Linked DNA regions of Lepisosteus oculatus. The main gene of each other region encodes a partner of the protein of the gene in region 2 in a complex. Links are inferred from orthologs where the notes say so. Each region holds a gene or a part of one and is shown on either strand. Other genes may lie near its edges.

Region 1 (7,650 bases), about 60 Mb from region 2:
ACGTTATCTCGGACAGATGATTTTTTTTATTCTCCACATATAAAATAATATATGTAACACACTCAAGATACAGCCTTTGCGTGCTTTGTTTCGGGTTTCATTGTGTTGTGTAAAGAATAGTTAAACTTTCACGTGGTGGCAGTATTTTTTTTTACATTACTACTTTACATTACTTGTTAATCCCTAGCAAACGCATTAAATACTTCGAGAGACAGAAATACCCACAAATAGGCTCCTTTTATCCCTCATAAACTAAGGCACAAATATGCACGCAGGAGCTGCTTATACCATGAAGTGTCCTGGAAAGTTTTGGGGAGCGTGTGTTTCTGACACCGGAAATCAGATGTACGTCATCGCTCAGTGGTCTAGGTAATCATTTTGGCAGATCACCACACAGGGAAGTAATTCATCCAGCTGTTTCTCAAAGGAAGGCAGGATTTCTGCTTTAACCACATGGCTGAGCAGCCTGTTCCCTACTCCCACACTCTGTTGTGTAAAGAAGTGCTTCCTGTTCTCAGTTTTGCACTTCCAGGTTACTTCCATACTATTCCAACTCGTCTTAAGTAACCTGCCAGGAAAACAATTGAACCACAGATCTAAAATAGGGATCTCGAATCTTGGTGCACAGGACCTAGACTTCTGCATGTTTTTTTCTTGGCGCGCTTTAACATATCAATGAGCAGAGATTCATTCGTACTTTTTAAGTAAACACTGGATTCACCGACGTCTCCTATGGTCGAGCTGGCGCTGAAACCCGAGAGGGCCGTGTGACACCACAAGACTGCAGCTGCACAGGTAAATGTGTCATCCCAGTGCTCGGGGTTTCTGGTTCGAACCCTCGACCAGCCAGGGACTCCCTGGTTCTCCACACCGAGAACCCACTGTGACCGAGTCTGCAGCAGCAGTAGCTGTTGATCCTGTTAATCTCTGAATGAGCCACTTCAGATAACAGCATCTGCTCAGCAGCTGATTAGATATCGATTCCAATCCGTTCTGGTCTGAAGCATCATGCGAGGATAGGGCCGCCCCAGCCCAGAAAGCCTGCCTGCCTCCCTGCCCTCTCGGCTTTGATTCTGTCTCCTGTGTTGTTTTCTGGGTGTGCTGCCTGTACCCCTCAAGCCGAGCACTGGGAAAACTCGGAGCAATGGACTGGCATTCGAGAGGGTCTCTGGCTCATACCTGCGAGCTGCGCAGAGCCCTGTTAATGGCCTGCTGTCTGGGATCAGGAGCAGAGGAGGCTTGGACCAGGCACAAGAATTTGCCTTACAAGGGGCTGTCTTCACCGAGAAGCTGGGGGCGCACGCAGAGCTGCCCTCCTGCTCTGCTCTGCTCTGCTCTGCTCTGCGCACGTAGGGCTGTACGTACGGCACCAACACATTTCCTTTGTCAAGATGTGGCCAGGTTTGCTTGTTTGTGCACAGCAGTTTATGCAGCAGAAAGATGAGGCTGCAGTGCAGCGCAGCGTGACACTTCATGTGTGTCAGGTGGAGGAGGAGGTGGGGTCTCTGGGTGTTGTCCCAATCCGAGACCCTGCCAGACTGCGGAGTCCCGGCAAATTGCAGGGCTGGTGTCCTTCTCTGACTGATTTTGTTTCTGGGGAACCAGCAAACAGTTTCTTTCATCACTGCAGCATTTGACAAGGATTATATTATAATATTACCGTTTACATGATACCTTTGAGCTAGTTGCATGCTGTAGTTTTTTACCACTTATTTCTAGCTTGTTAAATGTGGTCAAATGCAGAGGTGTCTTCCTGCCGGTGGGGAGAAGACAGCACAAGTGTGTTTTCTGGCATCCAAAACTACTGTACTACACACTTTGACTCTTTTACCTGTTGCAGTGCAGAACAAGCCGGGGAAATACAAATGGAATAGAGCCTCACTGATGTTGACCATTTTTAACAATCTTACCTTCGACCCAGAACTGCTGTACACATGCTGTACCTTTCAGGCAGTTACAAATATCTTGTTTGGTGACATTTTTTTCCTGGCTGATTTTAAACTGGAAGATTTAGCACACTGTCAACCAGTACATCACCACAGAGTGTTTGTGGCCTCTTTTACAAGCCTTAATTCACTGATCCATGTCCATGGTACCACACAGTTCTTAAAATTAGGATGCATCAGATTTATAATTCTTACTCTGGATGTATGGGGAAAAGCATGTTTTAGCTGCGGTTAAGAAATGACCAGTCATATTTCTGGAAAGTAATGCTGAAGACCAGCGAGCCCTCAATGACCCCAGATTTTATTTCATGTTGTTTTTGTGAGTCATCCCTGTGAGGTCAGCGAACATTCATTAACTGTGAGGAGATGCAGTGTTCATGAGGAACATTTCTCATGAGTGGTGACCGGTAATCTTCAGGCTGTTGTCAGATTTTGCTCTCAGACCTCGATCACTGTCTTCCTCAAATGTTAAATTGTCTTACTGCTCTCTGCGTTCAAACTCAACTGCCTGTGGGTGTCATTCTTCGCACTATTGCTACATATTTAATTACATTTGAGGGTATTTAATCCTTTTAGCCGTAAGCTTCACTTCTCTCCTCTTCATTAATTCCTGCATGGACTCTGTGGTGCACAGATCTTAGAAATTTTGCATTTTTTATACTTTTTCCAGTGTTTTTTCAGAAGCACAATCCAATTGCCCTCTGTGATTTTAGCCATTTTGTTTAAAGGTAATGGTTAATATTGACAAATCTGTGTTTTGTAGTACAGAAAGTAGAATTCTAGCTTTATGAAGGTGTAGTGAGTACCAATTTACCAATAACCATAACTATTCCTTACACTTAGTTCTTTTCTGGACACTCCACTCAAAGAGCTTTACAGGTAATGGGGATCCCCTCCACTACCACCAGTGTTTTCCCCACCTGGATGATGCACCAGTATGCTCCCCGCAACACCAGCTCTCAGTGTTAAGGAGAACAGAGTGATGACGCCAGTTCATACATGGGGATCATTAGGAGGCCACGATTGGTAAAGGCCAGGGAGAAATTTAGCCAGGACACCTACTCTTTTTGAGTAGCACCCTGGGATTTTTAATGAGCACAGAGAGTCAGGACCTCGGTTTTATGTCTCGTCCCAAGGATGGCATCTTTTTTACAATACAATGTCCCCTATCATTATACAGGAGCATTAGAACCGTCACACAGACCACAGGGAGAGCGCTTCCTACTGGCCTACTGGAGCACCTGATATCGATCCTGACATTGATAACGTCTGACCAACCAGTTTGACCTCATGAGTAAATGTGATGGATTTAGCACAACACCTCAGATTGGCTCTCCGTGTAGAGTTGAGATGTTGTGATTGTGTTTGTGTAGCTGCAGATCAAAGTGAATTAAAGACGCTAAACGACAGGTTAGGTGCCTTCTCATAAGCTGTACTGCCAACAGTCAGAGTTGTTATAACAGTAGAAAAAAGTAGTGGAGGTTCTGAGTAAATTGTTGATGCTCTTTACAACATACATATATTATAATTCTGGATTGTCTCCAATGTCTAAGACTTTAGCCCAGCAGAGAACCTGGATACATAACTGGTTACAGTGCCAACAACATCAATTTAAGTAAGGTATAAGGTATATACTTAATTAGGTATAAGCAGATGATTTATAGAGGGCTCTTCACATTCAGATGGCATCGTGTTGCAATTATACTGTATATTGTGCTTAAACTGTAGCAAAGGGAATTATTAGTCTGCTTTCGAATCCTGGAGAGAAGCAATTCCTTGTTGTGTTTCCAGTGCTGGTGCCAAAGCTCATTGCTGGCTGGACCAAGCCCAACCTATATTGCATCCCTTTATATGAAGCTTGCAGACAAAATAGCCTTTTCGCCTTGTGCTGTGAAAGATGTTTCCGAACGTTGTGGTGGCACATTAAAAAAAGTCCACGTACAGACTTCATAGGGGATCTACAGGGCCTATAGAGCATCTTGCCTGTCTGCAGATTGACCAGGTGATGTGCTCTAGAGAGCAGCTGGTCAGCAGGTAAATAAAGAACAGCGCTTTTTTCATGTTCGAATTGTAGGTTCGAAGGTTGGTTAACATGAACGTCACCTGCATCTCTCCAATTTATTTTACCTGAAAAAAAAACGAAACATGAGGCTGCTTTAAAGGCCGAGTTGTGGTTGTTTCTGGCTGTTTTCGCCTGCAGAGAGCGTACGTCTCCTGGGAGGCGCGATTCTGAATTTTGGCCTCCATTTGGATGGAGGGGTCCCGGCCAGGAATGTACACAGACAGCGACAGGGAAACCAGGAATGGGGCTCAGGGGGGACGCGTTCCCTTTAAAATAAGAAAAATCCGGCCGGGGGGGGCGCAGTGGCTATCGGTTTCCTGCTCGTATTGTACCTCGTTGCAGCGTCTGCGCTTGGGCTGGGGGTTGTAAGTGAGCCAGGAAAAGCAGAGGAGGGGGGCGGGGGGCGGGGGGGAGGGCCTGGCGTCAGCCGACAAAAACAGCTGTGGGACTGTGGAGTGGAAAACAGTCGGGCATGAGAGAGGGAAGAGGGGAAGAGAGAGACTGACAGAGGGTCCCCGCTCTCTATGGGTTGTGCCTGGAGCTCTGAGTGCTGCGGAGAGGAGCTGTGCCCGGTGCCGGTCGAGTGGGTGCCCAGGAAAGAAGGCCCGGGCGCTGCGGACAAGATGAGGCTGACGAAGGTAGGCTCTAGAAAAATTCAGGGCAGGTCCGGGGCTGGCATTCCGAATCGGATTTGTGTTGCTGGTGCCTTGGGTCTAGGGCAAGTGTGCTGCTTTCTCAGCTCAATCCGGCTTTCCAACACCGGCGCTGGGCAGGCTGTGCAGTGTGTCTTGCTGTCGCAGGTGGCCCAGGATCATCATGATCTCCAGGGTCTGGATCTGGGCCCCGGGTTCCGCCGATGTGGTCCCAAAGAGCTCAGGGACGAATCACTGAATCAGTGTGACTAGGACCCGGGCTGTAGATCTTCGGATGTAGTCAATCTTTTCACCCAGCTTCTCGAACCTGGGCCCAGCCGCTGCTGTGTCATGGCTGGAGTGTTCTTCTGCCCTGGCTGGACCACGGGCCTTTCTGTCTAAGTGTGAAAACTCTGATTAGGTGCTTGCAAGGAATTGGATTGTCTGGAGTAGCCTTCAAACTGCAAAATTAGTGGGCAGTGACAGGATGACATTTAGAAAGCAGTCTCCGGGATCTTGAAATTACTAGGGTTTTTTAGGTTTGGGGAAATGGCTGGACTGACAGAAAAGCATGGAGACACGTTCATATGAGGGGGCAAACTGTACTTTGGGTGCTGTGCATTTAATAGCAGGAATGGAAGCCCAACACCCATTTAGAGGAGGATATGTCACTTTTTATAACGTTTTGTGTTCGGAAACCATGTGTCCAGAGAATCAGGCTATTCCGACAGTGCTGAGCAAGTCCAGAAATTCGCAGCCTGTTTCTGGACCACATGGGGTGAATGTAAATGCACAGTGAGCTTACCCTTTTATCAGTGTGTACTCGCTTGTGTACTGATACAACTCGAGCTCTTAACAAAATATAGGAGCTGATAAGAACCACTCTTTGAATTTCACAGGAGCGACAGTGGTACACATCCAGTATTCAACTTGGATCCTGAAGGTCTAGATAACTGCCTCAGTGTCTGACTTTCATTCCAGTGAATGAACAGAAGTCCTCCTAACTAACAGGAGGGGCCCCAGGAACAGGTGTGCTTGTGCCTGTTCCCTTTGATGCCTGGTCTTGTTCTTTGTCACATGCAGTATACAGTACATGATCTCTGTGTCAAAACCACCTTTGCAAGCCTAGGTGGGTGTTATTGTGCGTTACTGTAATGTTCCTAACATTAAGATTGCTCTGAGGAATGGGAAACTGTCAGGGAGGAGTACGATCCATAATTCTGTTGTGTTCATTGGTGGAGCTTGTGGACCGGCGGGATCTGGCAGAGAGGAACGCCAGAGCAGTGCACTGAGGGACTGGGATTGCTGTGTGTCACTCACACCCTCAGTTTGGCGGTGGACTGGGTGGGAGGGGTGTTGGAAGTTTTCATCTTCTGAAATCTGGGTCCAAGTTCTGGTTCTGGTTTGGAACGCTACCCTACTCACTCTGATGTGCGGGGTATAAAAAAATCTACAAGCCTTGTTTTTGACTGGAATTGTCACCAGTTTGGGCTTCCACCTGGTGCTGAAATCCAGGGAGAATTTAAAACAGCAGAGCATTTGAATTGTACAATTAGAAGTGAATCCTGTTCCGGTGGTGTTGTTTACTGTAACTTTTGTGTAATTTGTGACTCTCCAATGTGACAGTAGTGGTACCCTTGAGCAAGGTGCCTCACCTGAATGGTTCCTGTAAAACACCCAGCTGTGTGAGTTGGTGCCAGTGTAAGTCATTTTGGACCAAAGCATCAGACAAAAATAATATAGCTTTCTCAAAATCCAGCTCCCCTGTCCTTGTATCTGTAATACCTGATGAGGCCCAGGTTCCCATAGCAATAAAGACAAGAACGTTGGCAATGGCTGGTAGAGAGGTGGTGAGCTTTGCTGCCTCGCCCTGGGTTAAATTCTGGGCCTGGGGTGCTATCTGTGAGGAGTTTGTATGTTGTCCCCATGATTGCGTGGGTTTCCTCTAATAGTCCAAAGACATACTGGTAAATTAATCAGCTTCTGGGAAAAGTGGCCCTGCTGTGTGGTTGTCTACTCTGGGATGGAGTGGGGTCCCACCAGGGTGTACCCTGCCTTGTGCCTTTTGCCTGCCGGGCTCCCCAGCTGCCTCAAAACTCTCCTTTAGAACCTGTCAGCAAAATTGAAATTGTAATACCCTGAATTAACCTTGAAAGGCTGGTTGTAGTTAGGGCAAGGTGCTCAAGAATTGAAGTGAGTTCTTAAGCATTGTGATCCCATAGTTTTCTACCAAGAGGCTGAATCTTCGGGACTCATGTGGTGACGTTTTCTGCAGAAGACTAGTGAGATCCGGAAAAGGCGCCACTTCCTTGGAAATGGACGCCAACAGGCCTTTCCTAGCTTCCTCAGCCGGGATTCTCATAGTAAATGCTGCAACTGTCTGTGGCCGTCAGTAGTACTTCCGGATATAGCTTTCCCGAAGCATGCCATGCATTCTCTGGGAATTACAGAAAGCTCCATCGGTTTCCTCCGAAATATTCCATGGAGATCATTATACAAACGTCAGCATTAAAAAAAAGTACTTGGAAAATTTGCGCTCACACACACAAAAGAACATTTTGTAAAATCAACATCCTCTCCCTGTGTTTAAAGGAATATACTCTGTGGCCTCAGTCGATACTGTAGTTGGCCTGTCTCTTCATTCTCTGATTGTTGGTTCAGCTGGGAAATTGCCCAGAGTGGCTTTGAGATCTGTATAACCTGCAGACTGAAATGTTATCCAGCATTTTTGTTTAAATTTTTGGCAATGAAGTGACTTAGCATTTATGGTGAACAGGAGATCTTTTGGTTTTGAATCACTGCAGACTCGTAAAACAGTATTATTTTTTTTAGTTCTGATTTTAGACAAGGGGATTCAGACTCTAGTCCTGGGGTGCTGAGTGTTTTGTTACAAATTAAACAATTAAAAGTTCTTAACATTTTCTTATGCTGAGTTACAGTTGAACTCTCACAGTGCTCACTTCATTAAAGGTTAAGTTAACCTATAAAACAGTGTTGATCCAGGACAGAA
Region 2 (7,191 bases):
GAAATGGAAAACATTTCTATGAGAGTAAAGCCATGAGATTATAGCAGTTCCATGATCCAGGGGGCTAATGCTGTTTTGCACCCTACTGTATGCCTCTGGGATTCTGGGAATCGTGGAATGTGGGAATCTGGGATTCTGGGAATGTGGGATTCTGGACTCCAGGTTGCCCTGACTCTTGGCCTTGTGAAATGGACTGATAGAAGACTAGAGCTGAACTAGAATTCGTTACGTCAATATTTACTGTCAATTGTGAGCTTTTTTCAAACTCCAAAGTCTTGAAAGTTGAACTCTAGAACTGTATTCTTTAATGGGCAGATATATGGGTATACTTTTGAAATAAGCCTACAGGATCATGGAAAGGAAGAAATAAGTGAAATACTGCATGTGCAAGGAGCACACACATCTCTCACTTCTGCCAAGGTGGAAATCCAATCAAAAAATACTTTCATAAAGCAAAAGTTGACTTAATTTATGCCTGTTGTAGTGGAGCATTAGGCAATTATGTCCTGCACAAAGGCTTGGCTTTTACCACATATTTAACATTTTTCTATAGTATAAACTAATTATGCAAATTTTTTATTAGTATTGAGAATTGTAACTAATAATACAAGATGAACTTAAATTTAAGACCACATTATATGTTTATAAATTGCACGAACCGTACAAAAATCTTACAGTAAGAATGAGAATACTACAGGAAAGGGTTTACAGGTAAAAAAACAAAATCTCATATATAATATATTTCATGCATCGTCTTGAATACTGTGCTTTATTATCAGAATGGCATGAAACATGCAACCAATGAGTACTGGACCCAATTAAAAAAGCTTCCATGATGTAAAGTCCTGAGTCATTAATGTCTCACTGTGTTTTATATATATATACAGTATACAGGAAAATAGACATCCTGTATCATATAAAAGTCTATAGTCTGTTCTACAGGCCATAAGAGATCACTGTCTCCTACTGATAACAAAATTCCTTACAAGATGAATAGTGTTCAGTTCCCTTACGATTCATGATCTCTTGCTTCTAGGTATTTAAATTAAACAGCAACACAATCAACATTTTAACGCAGAGTTTGAGAATAAACTCTTTTTGAAACGGCCAGTAGTTTGAAGTATTACCCAAAGATTTTTCAAACACCGCTTATTCCTAGTGGCGTTGGTGGCATCATAAAGCTGAAAGCATCATGCTATAGTGCAGGTACTGTAGGTACTGTATTTCGTACTGAGATATTTCAATACAACAATGCAAAATAAGACACTGAGGCTAAATTTAGCTGCACACATGCTATGCTGAAAAAGATTAGTAAACATGGATAAGACATGGTTTACTGTAGTTTCAAACATTTCAGTGTTCATCAGATGACATCAAATTCCAACAGAATCTAAGAAATGTGAAGATCAAATGTTTCCATAGTACGCAAAGGTTCAGACTCACAGTAAAGGGGTCTTCAATTAGCAAAGAACCATCAAGCATGTTGATTTATTCACCTTGAATATAATAAGTTTGAAGTCAGAAAGAAAAACTCATGTTTTAAAGAAGCTAATTTGATTAATGCGTCATGAACTATTAGGGACTTTTTAACAGTGTGAAAATCTTCAAAACATTGTTTAATAGCTGAAAAATATTTTTTAGAAGCAAAACGTTACAAAAGATACAGGCACATACAAAGCAGTTAAAAAATGTGCTGTCTGTGGATGATTTAAAATCATTCCACAAGTGTTGAATTACCTAGTAACTACAGTTTATGCTTTCTACTATGATTGATTAGTTGACAGTTGTTACAGAAATTGCTCTGTAAATAATATCAAAACATCTTATTCACAATGTGCCTTTAGCTAATCCATTGCCTGCAATTGCTGTCTAACTTCACAGTCAGTTAATGTCTTGAACGGAGGTAGTAACATTTGTTTTGTAACTCCACTAACATTTGCACCAAACAAGAATCATCCTTCTAACTGAAAACCAGTATCCACATTGTTCATTAAAGAGCCTGTTTGCTCTTTTTCAGAAAATAATAGATATGTAGAAGTCACTTACCTTACTCTCAAGAGAAAAGCATGGATTATTTTGTTACCTTAGAACAAACTTCAGCAATTACCATTAGTACTGTGAAAGTGAGGGTTTTAGAAGTCCACATATCCTTAATTGCCGTAGCAGAGTGATCTGTTTGAAGGCAGCTCTGTACTGCTGGTATCTGTGTAAAAACAAGCTCTGCTGCTGGAGGGAAACTCAGGCACACGGGATTCTGTCAATTTTCTGTGACTCCTGCCTACAGACTCGAAGAGTAATGGCTTGTAGAAAGGGGGCCAACTCTGCCTAGCCCCAGATTGCCTGGAAGTATTTCCTGCCTTTAAACAGCATGTTCATGTCTGAATGGCAAAGGGCATAATGACCAGAATTTAAAAGATCAACATGCACTCAGCAGTGTTTTACGCAGTGATCTACAGATATCTAACATATCTTAGATGTTTCAGTGCTGATTGGTCTGATGGACGGGAGAAAATAACTCTAGATAAAACTCCACCACACAGTAAATTACACCTTATTAAGACAACTGAGAAATATTTCAAAAATTGTGAATTTCAACAGAGTTCCCAGTGTTCTTCATGGATTCATTTTCATACTGCATTAAGAATGAAAGAGCAATTCGTCACCAAGTCAATGGGTTTTATTTTCTGTCATCTCCAGGTTTATTTACGGAGTGCTTGTTATCAGGCAATGTCTCTGTCAAAGATAAAAGAAAAACATAACTTCCCTTAAATTAAAATTGTAATATGTCTTCCCCATCCAGGTTAAACATTTCCAAAGTTTAAGGGTACCGCTGTCGTTACCTTTCCTGAAAAGTCTCCAGAGCCACACAAATCCCGCACTGTGAAAACTGAAGGACAGTCTCCATCTTGAGCACATTAAAGTTTTGCTGACACTGTGCACTTGTAGGAGCGCTGTTCCTCCTGGCTCGACAAGGAGTCTGAATCATGTCTTTGGGACAGCCCACATCTTTCACATCCTTGCTGTCTGCTCGGCTTCGCTTCAAGTATCATCTGTTTATCTTTTCTTCTTTCTTCTTCCCTTACAGCACAACTTCCTCCAAGTCGCTCCGAGTGTCTCTCGAGCTGGGAACTGGACTTACCATTTGGTTTTGATTAAAAGCAGACATGCAGCATTGTAAAACCCAGGATGGAAGCCAAAGGAGACTGCAATTCTTGGCAGCAATTTCCAAGCTTTTTAACAGTCGCTTGTAACTGTACAAGCATCCTCGCAAAACTGAAGAAGAAATACACTGAGACGCGTTTATAGACATTCCAGGGGAATGTGCCACCCCAGCAGAAACACAGTGTTTCAGACCGATTTAGACTGCGCGGTATTTAGAGAACTACAACGCTGAGTTTTTTTTCAATGAGCGTTTAAAAAAAGCTCATTGAAAAATAAAAAAAGCTTTCAGTTTTTCCATGTTTCAAAACTTTTGGATCACCTTCATATTTTTGTTGATTAGGATGGTTTTATTTAAAACATATGACTATGTGTCGATTCTATCTCTCAAGGAAGAAAATGCGTGTAACATGAAAGGAATATACAGTACATAAAAGTAACATAAAGTTTGGAGAGTTCCTTTTTTATTAAAAAAGTTAACCAATACAGCTTTTTGTTTAGCTAAAAATGGTTTCTAAGTTAAAATGAAAATAATAACTTATGGTTAGAAGATATTAGGTTTAATCACAATTATATGTGGTGCACTACATTTGACATTTTTTATGATTTGTAAGTCTTTTAAGATTACTGATCTGGTAGTTTATTACTTATAATCTCCTAATACGTCCCTTATAAGTGACACCTATGATGTTTGTATTAATAATTTGTTATTGATTAAAAGGTAATTACATACTGTACCAGTCCTTCACAGATACTATTGCAGATTTGCTCAGTGTTACTTTGTATACTTCTATAGTATACAAGAGAGCATTAGATTGTGTTTTAAATGTATGCTGTCATTTTGAATTCTGGGGATGAATATTAATTACTTATTGCCAATTCACAAGTTGTATAATTGACTGTAGGCTGGGGGTGTCAATCACTAGATGAGCTAGTGTCTTCTGGTTTCTGTTCTAACCTGAGTAGTCAAATCAACAATTAACCTCATTATTTTAAGGATGTTTTTCACAGTTATAGTTATAAAAAGATCCTGTATAGCAGGGATCTCAAACTCAGTGCTTGGAGAGTTTAATGTCTTACGGTCTTTGTTCCACACACACATTCTCAGCTACACAGATTGACTGAGAGCATGATAGTTAATACAACAACCCAGGCTAAAATATTGTATTGCTATGCTACTGGGTTATCAATGTTAAATACCTTAAGTAACAATCTATATGTGTCTTAGTAAAAAAATGATTAGGTTAATTGTTTAATTTGTAACCTAGGTTGGAGTGTTAGAAGACATCAGGCCCTTCTGATGTACTGTAGGTGTCCCACACCCCCACCCTCAACATTGTGGAAAGAGCTCAGTCTAACTCATGAGCACTTCATGCAGGGTTTATGCCAGCCTGTGAAAAAAGGGATGGATAAGTGTGTCTCACGCGCTTGTGAGATGGCAACATGTTTCTGTTGGTACCCTTTACAAGTTGTGATTGGGAAAAGGCCTGAAAGAGCACTTTGAGGTGATGAGCCCAGACGTCTGCAGTCTGCTTACAGCTATGTTACTTTTTAATGTTTACACTTACAAAAGATCCAGAAGATACTAAACTGAAAACAAACTACTGTACATTTCCCTGATGACATCACAAGCATGTGGTATTACACTGAATCCTAATCAATCAAAACACGGATGCATCAAAAATAACTAATTTGTCTTAAAACACATCAAGAAAGGCAAAAATGATGTGAATGTAATTAATCTTTGGGATGACCAAAGACGAGACACAATCATGTGCACTTCTTCTGCGTTTTCAGGTTGAGTCACCTGAGCCACAAGCTTAACTCAAAACTACGAGTTCTTCACTGTGAGTGGGCATGGTGCAAACCACGATGAAGAATAGATACTGTAATGGTCACCGTTCCACGTAAAAGCAGAGGCTCAGTTTTTCAGAAGTCTGACTGTGTACCAAAAGGGAAGATTTAAAGACATATATTACATAGTCTGTAGAATTGTTGGGCTGTCCTGCAACAGCTTACAATCCAACAGGAAACTAGAGACTCTTCTAGGATAATGCATCTGTCGTCATTATAACACTGTAACAATTCAATAAGATCTGGCTGTTGCCCTGCCTGAGGACTGGGATGGAATTTAAAAAAATATTACCTACTGGATAAGTGGAAGCATGTTGGAATCCTGCCCACAGAGTCTGTGCTCCAACTCAGTGAAATTAATATGGATATGAATATGAATTCATTTCATTTCCGAATTGTCTGTGAGCTTGAAAAAAATGCTCATTGCAATTTTTATTTCTTCGGGTCTCATGTTCAGAAGTGTGTCACTGATGATACACATATAATCTAATTTATGCATTATTTAATTTAATTATGCCATGAGAGATGCATTAAGATACATAAATCTGAATCATGAAGTTAGATGTGAATTGGGGTCATTGCAGTCTGAAATGCTGGACCTTTCATGTTTTAGTATCATATGTTGACAAAATCCTTGCATTGCACGTCTGCTGTGTTCCGGTGGATTTTTAACAAAGTTTACATTGTATTAACCTTTCTGTAATTCTGAATGAACTACAACCTTAACTAATACAATTCAACAGTAAATTAAAACCAGAAAGAGGAGGTTTTTTTTTTACCCAGTGGGTGTGGGAGTCAGGAACAATCTACCCTCCTCTCACTTGTAACTGTTCTTATATTCTTATATCTCATGAGCTTCCAAGGAAGGGTTCCTCCAAGAGATTTGCTGAAGACTAGAAGTGAACCAAACCATTCCAGAAAGATGTGTGCCATTGTGAAGAACCCTAGGAAGAATTTATTGGTGCCTCAAACATAAAGAGCACTGACAACAGAATCATTTCCCCATCACCAACAAAGTACGGGCAGGATAATATTTTATGATTTTACTGGATGCAATTCTAAAATCCCATACGGAGTCCTGTTTCTCGGCTGCTCTCCTCAGAAATTGCTCATGCAAATCCTCAGCAAGCCTGGCCATTCCTGGTCATGGCAGAGAATCTTTGAAGCCCAGCTATTCGAAGCCATATGAAAAAAAAAGCTTTCTTAGAAATTAATATGACCACAACAGTTTCTGGCAGTCATAGGGATTCAGCAAAACATAAACAATTAGGCTTTATACAACAGATCAATAAATCATGTTGTTTAAATATACATATTTCTACAGTAATACCAGTAAATACTGTCAGTATGTATTAAACTGACAAAGTTGCATCACACACTTTTGTGTTTTTTTTACAGGAATTTTGGCATCCCACACTCTGCAAAGGGTGTGAGAACTTTTGTATACTTTCAGAAAGTCGTCTCCCTGTCCAGAACATTTTTTTCAGTACTCCCTCCAGGCTGCATTCGGAGAGCAAAGATCAAAATCTTATGACTCAGGAACGTCATGCATAAGAAATGTTCCACATTCGTTTATCCCATTCTAATTTTTAAAAAAATATTCTCTTCATCTCTCAGCATATTACTTTTTGGTTTTGTAATCTGTGCACATACGCACAGTGCACAGTTGTGCAGTTCATCTGCTGGGCCACCACTGCATCATTGCCTCTCCAGTCCGTGTGAATATATTCACCCACACTTGCTCCTCTATACCTGCACACAGAAGGACTAAGCAAGAACAGAGATGGGGAGGCAGTCTGCTTGTTTCTATTGAATACTTTTTGGGTCTAGGGAGCTGGGTGCAGATTCTGTATAATGTTGATATTAAGCACAATATGTTTTAAGGCGGTGTAAAATATATTTCCGTCTGTACATACTGTATCCCTTTTTGTACCTTATTCTTTTTTTCTGAAAAGAGTTTATTTGAGAGTTTTATTAGTATGTTTTTGTATCTTTATAGACTTGGCTTTACTCACCTACAGTACAGGCCGGTTTTAATAATCCAGAACTAACAAAATACTTACAGTATGTTAAACTTCAGATTATTCAAAGAACAGTAGGAGACTGTTACAAAGCAAGCATATAATTCTTTGCATTTAGATGGTGCTTTTCACCTCAAATGATTCCAGAATGTTTTAC

The links.
Region 1: the proteins of dlc1 (region 2) and tns2a are in contact, whole or in part, in an NMR structure (PDB 2LOZ), measured with the Homo sapiens proteins. The link is inferred for Lepisosteus oculatus from reciprocal best matches to the Homo sapiens genes DLC1 and TNS2. Residues at the interface, in NP_001335010.1 of Homo sapiens: Glu811, Asp812, His813, Lys814, Pro815, Gly816, Thr817, Phe818, Pro819, Ala821, Leu822, Thr823, Asn824; in NP_736610.2 of Homo sapiens: Asp1268, Leu1269, Leu1270, Arg1271, Gln1272, Gly1273, Ala1274, Ala1275, Cys1276, Lys1317, Ser1319, Ala1320, Gln1321, Thr1324, Leu1387, Asp1388, Pro1389, Asp1390, Gln1391, Val1403, Leu1404, Leu1405, Gly1406.

What each region holds. Positions count from the first base shown.
Region 1 is NC_090696.1:17,524,603-17,532,252, forward strand, and holds the start of tns2a (tensin-2), read left to right. Parts: upstream 1-4,447; 5' UTR 4,448-4,532; coding exon 4,533-4,646; intron 4,647-7,650. UniProt on the Homo sapiens protein: Tyrosine-protein phosphatase which regulates cell motility, proliferation and muscle-response to insulin. Phosphatase activity is mediated by binding to phosphatidylinositol-3,4,5-triphosphate (PtdIns(3,4,5)P3) via the SH2 domain.
Region 2 is NC_090696.1:77,394,890-77,402,080, reverse strand, and holds the start of dlc1 (rho GTPase-activating protein 7), read right to left. Parts: upstream 3,126-7,191; 5' UTR 2,841-3,125; exon of another isoform or gene 2,047-2,840; intron 1-2,046. UniProt on the Homo sapiens protein: Functions as a GTPase-activating protein for the small GTPases RHOA, RHOB, RHOC and CDC42, terminating their downstream signaling.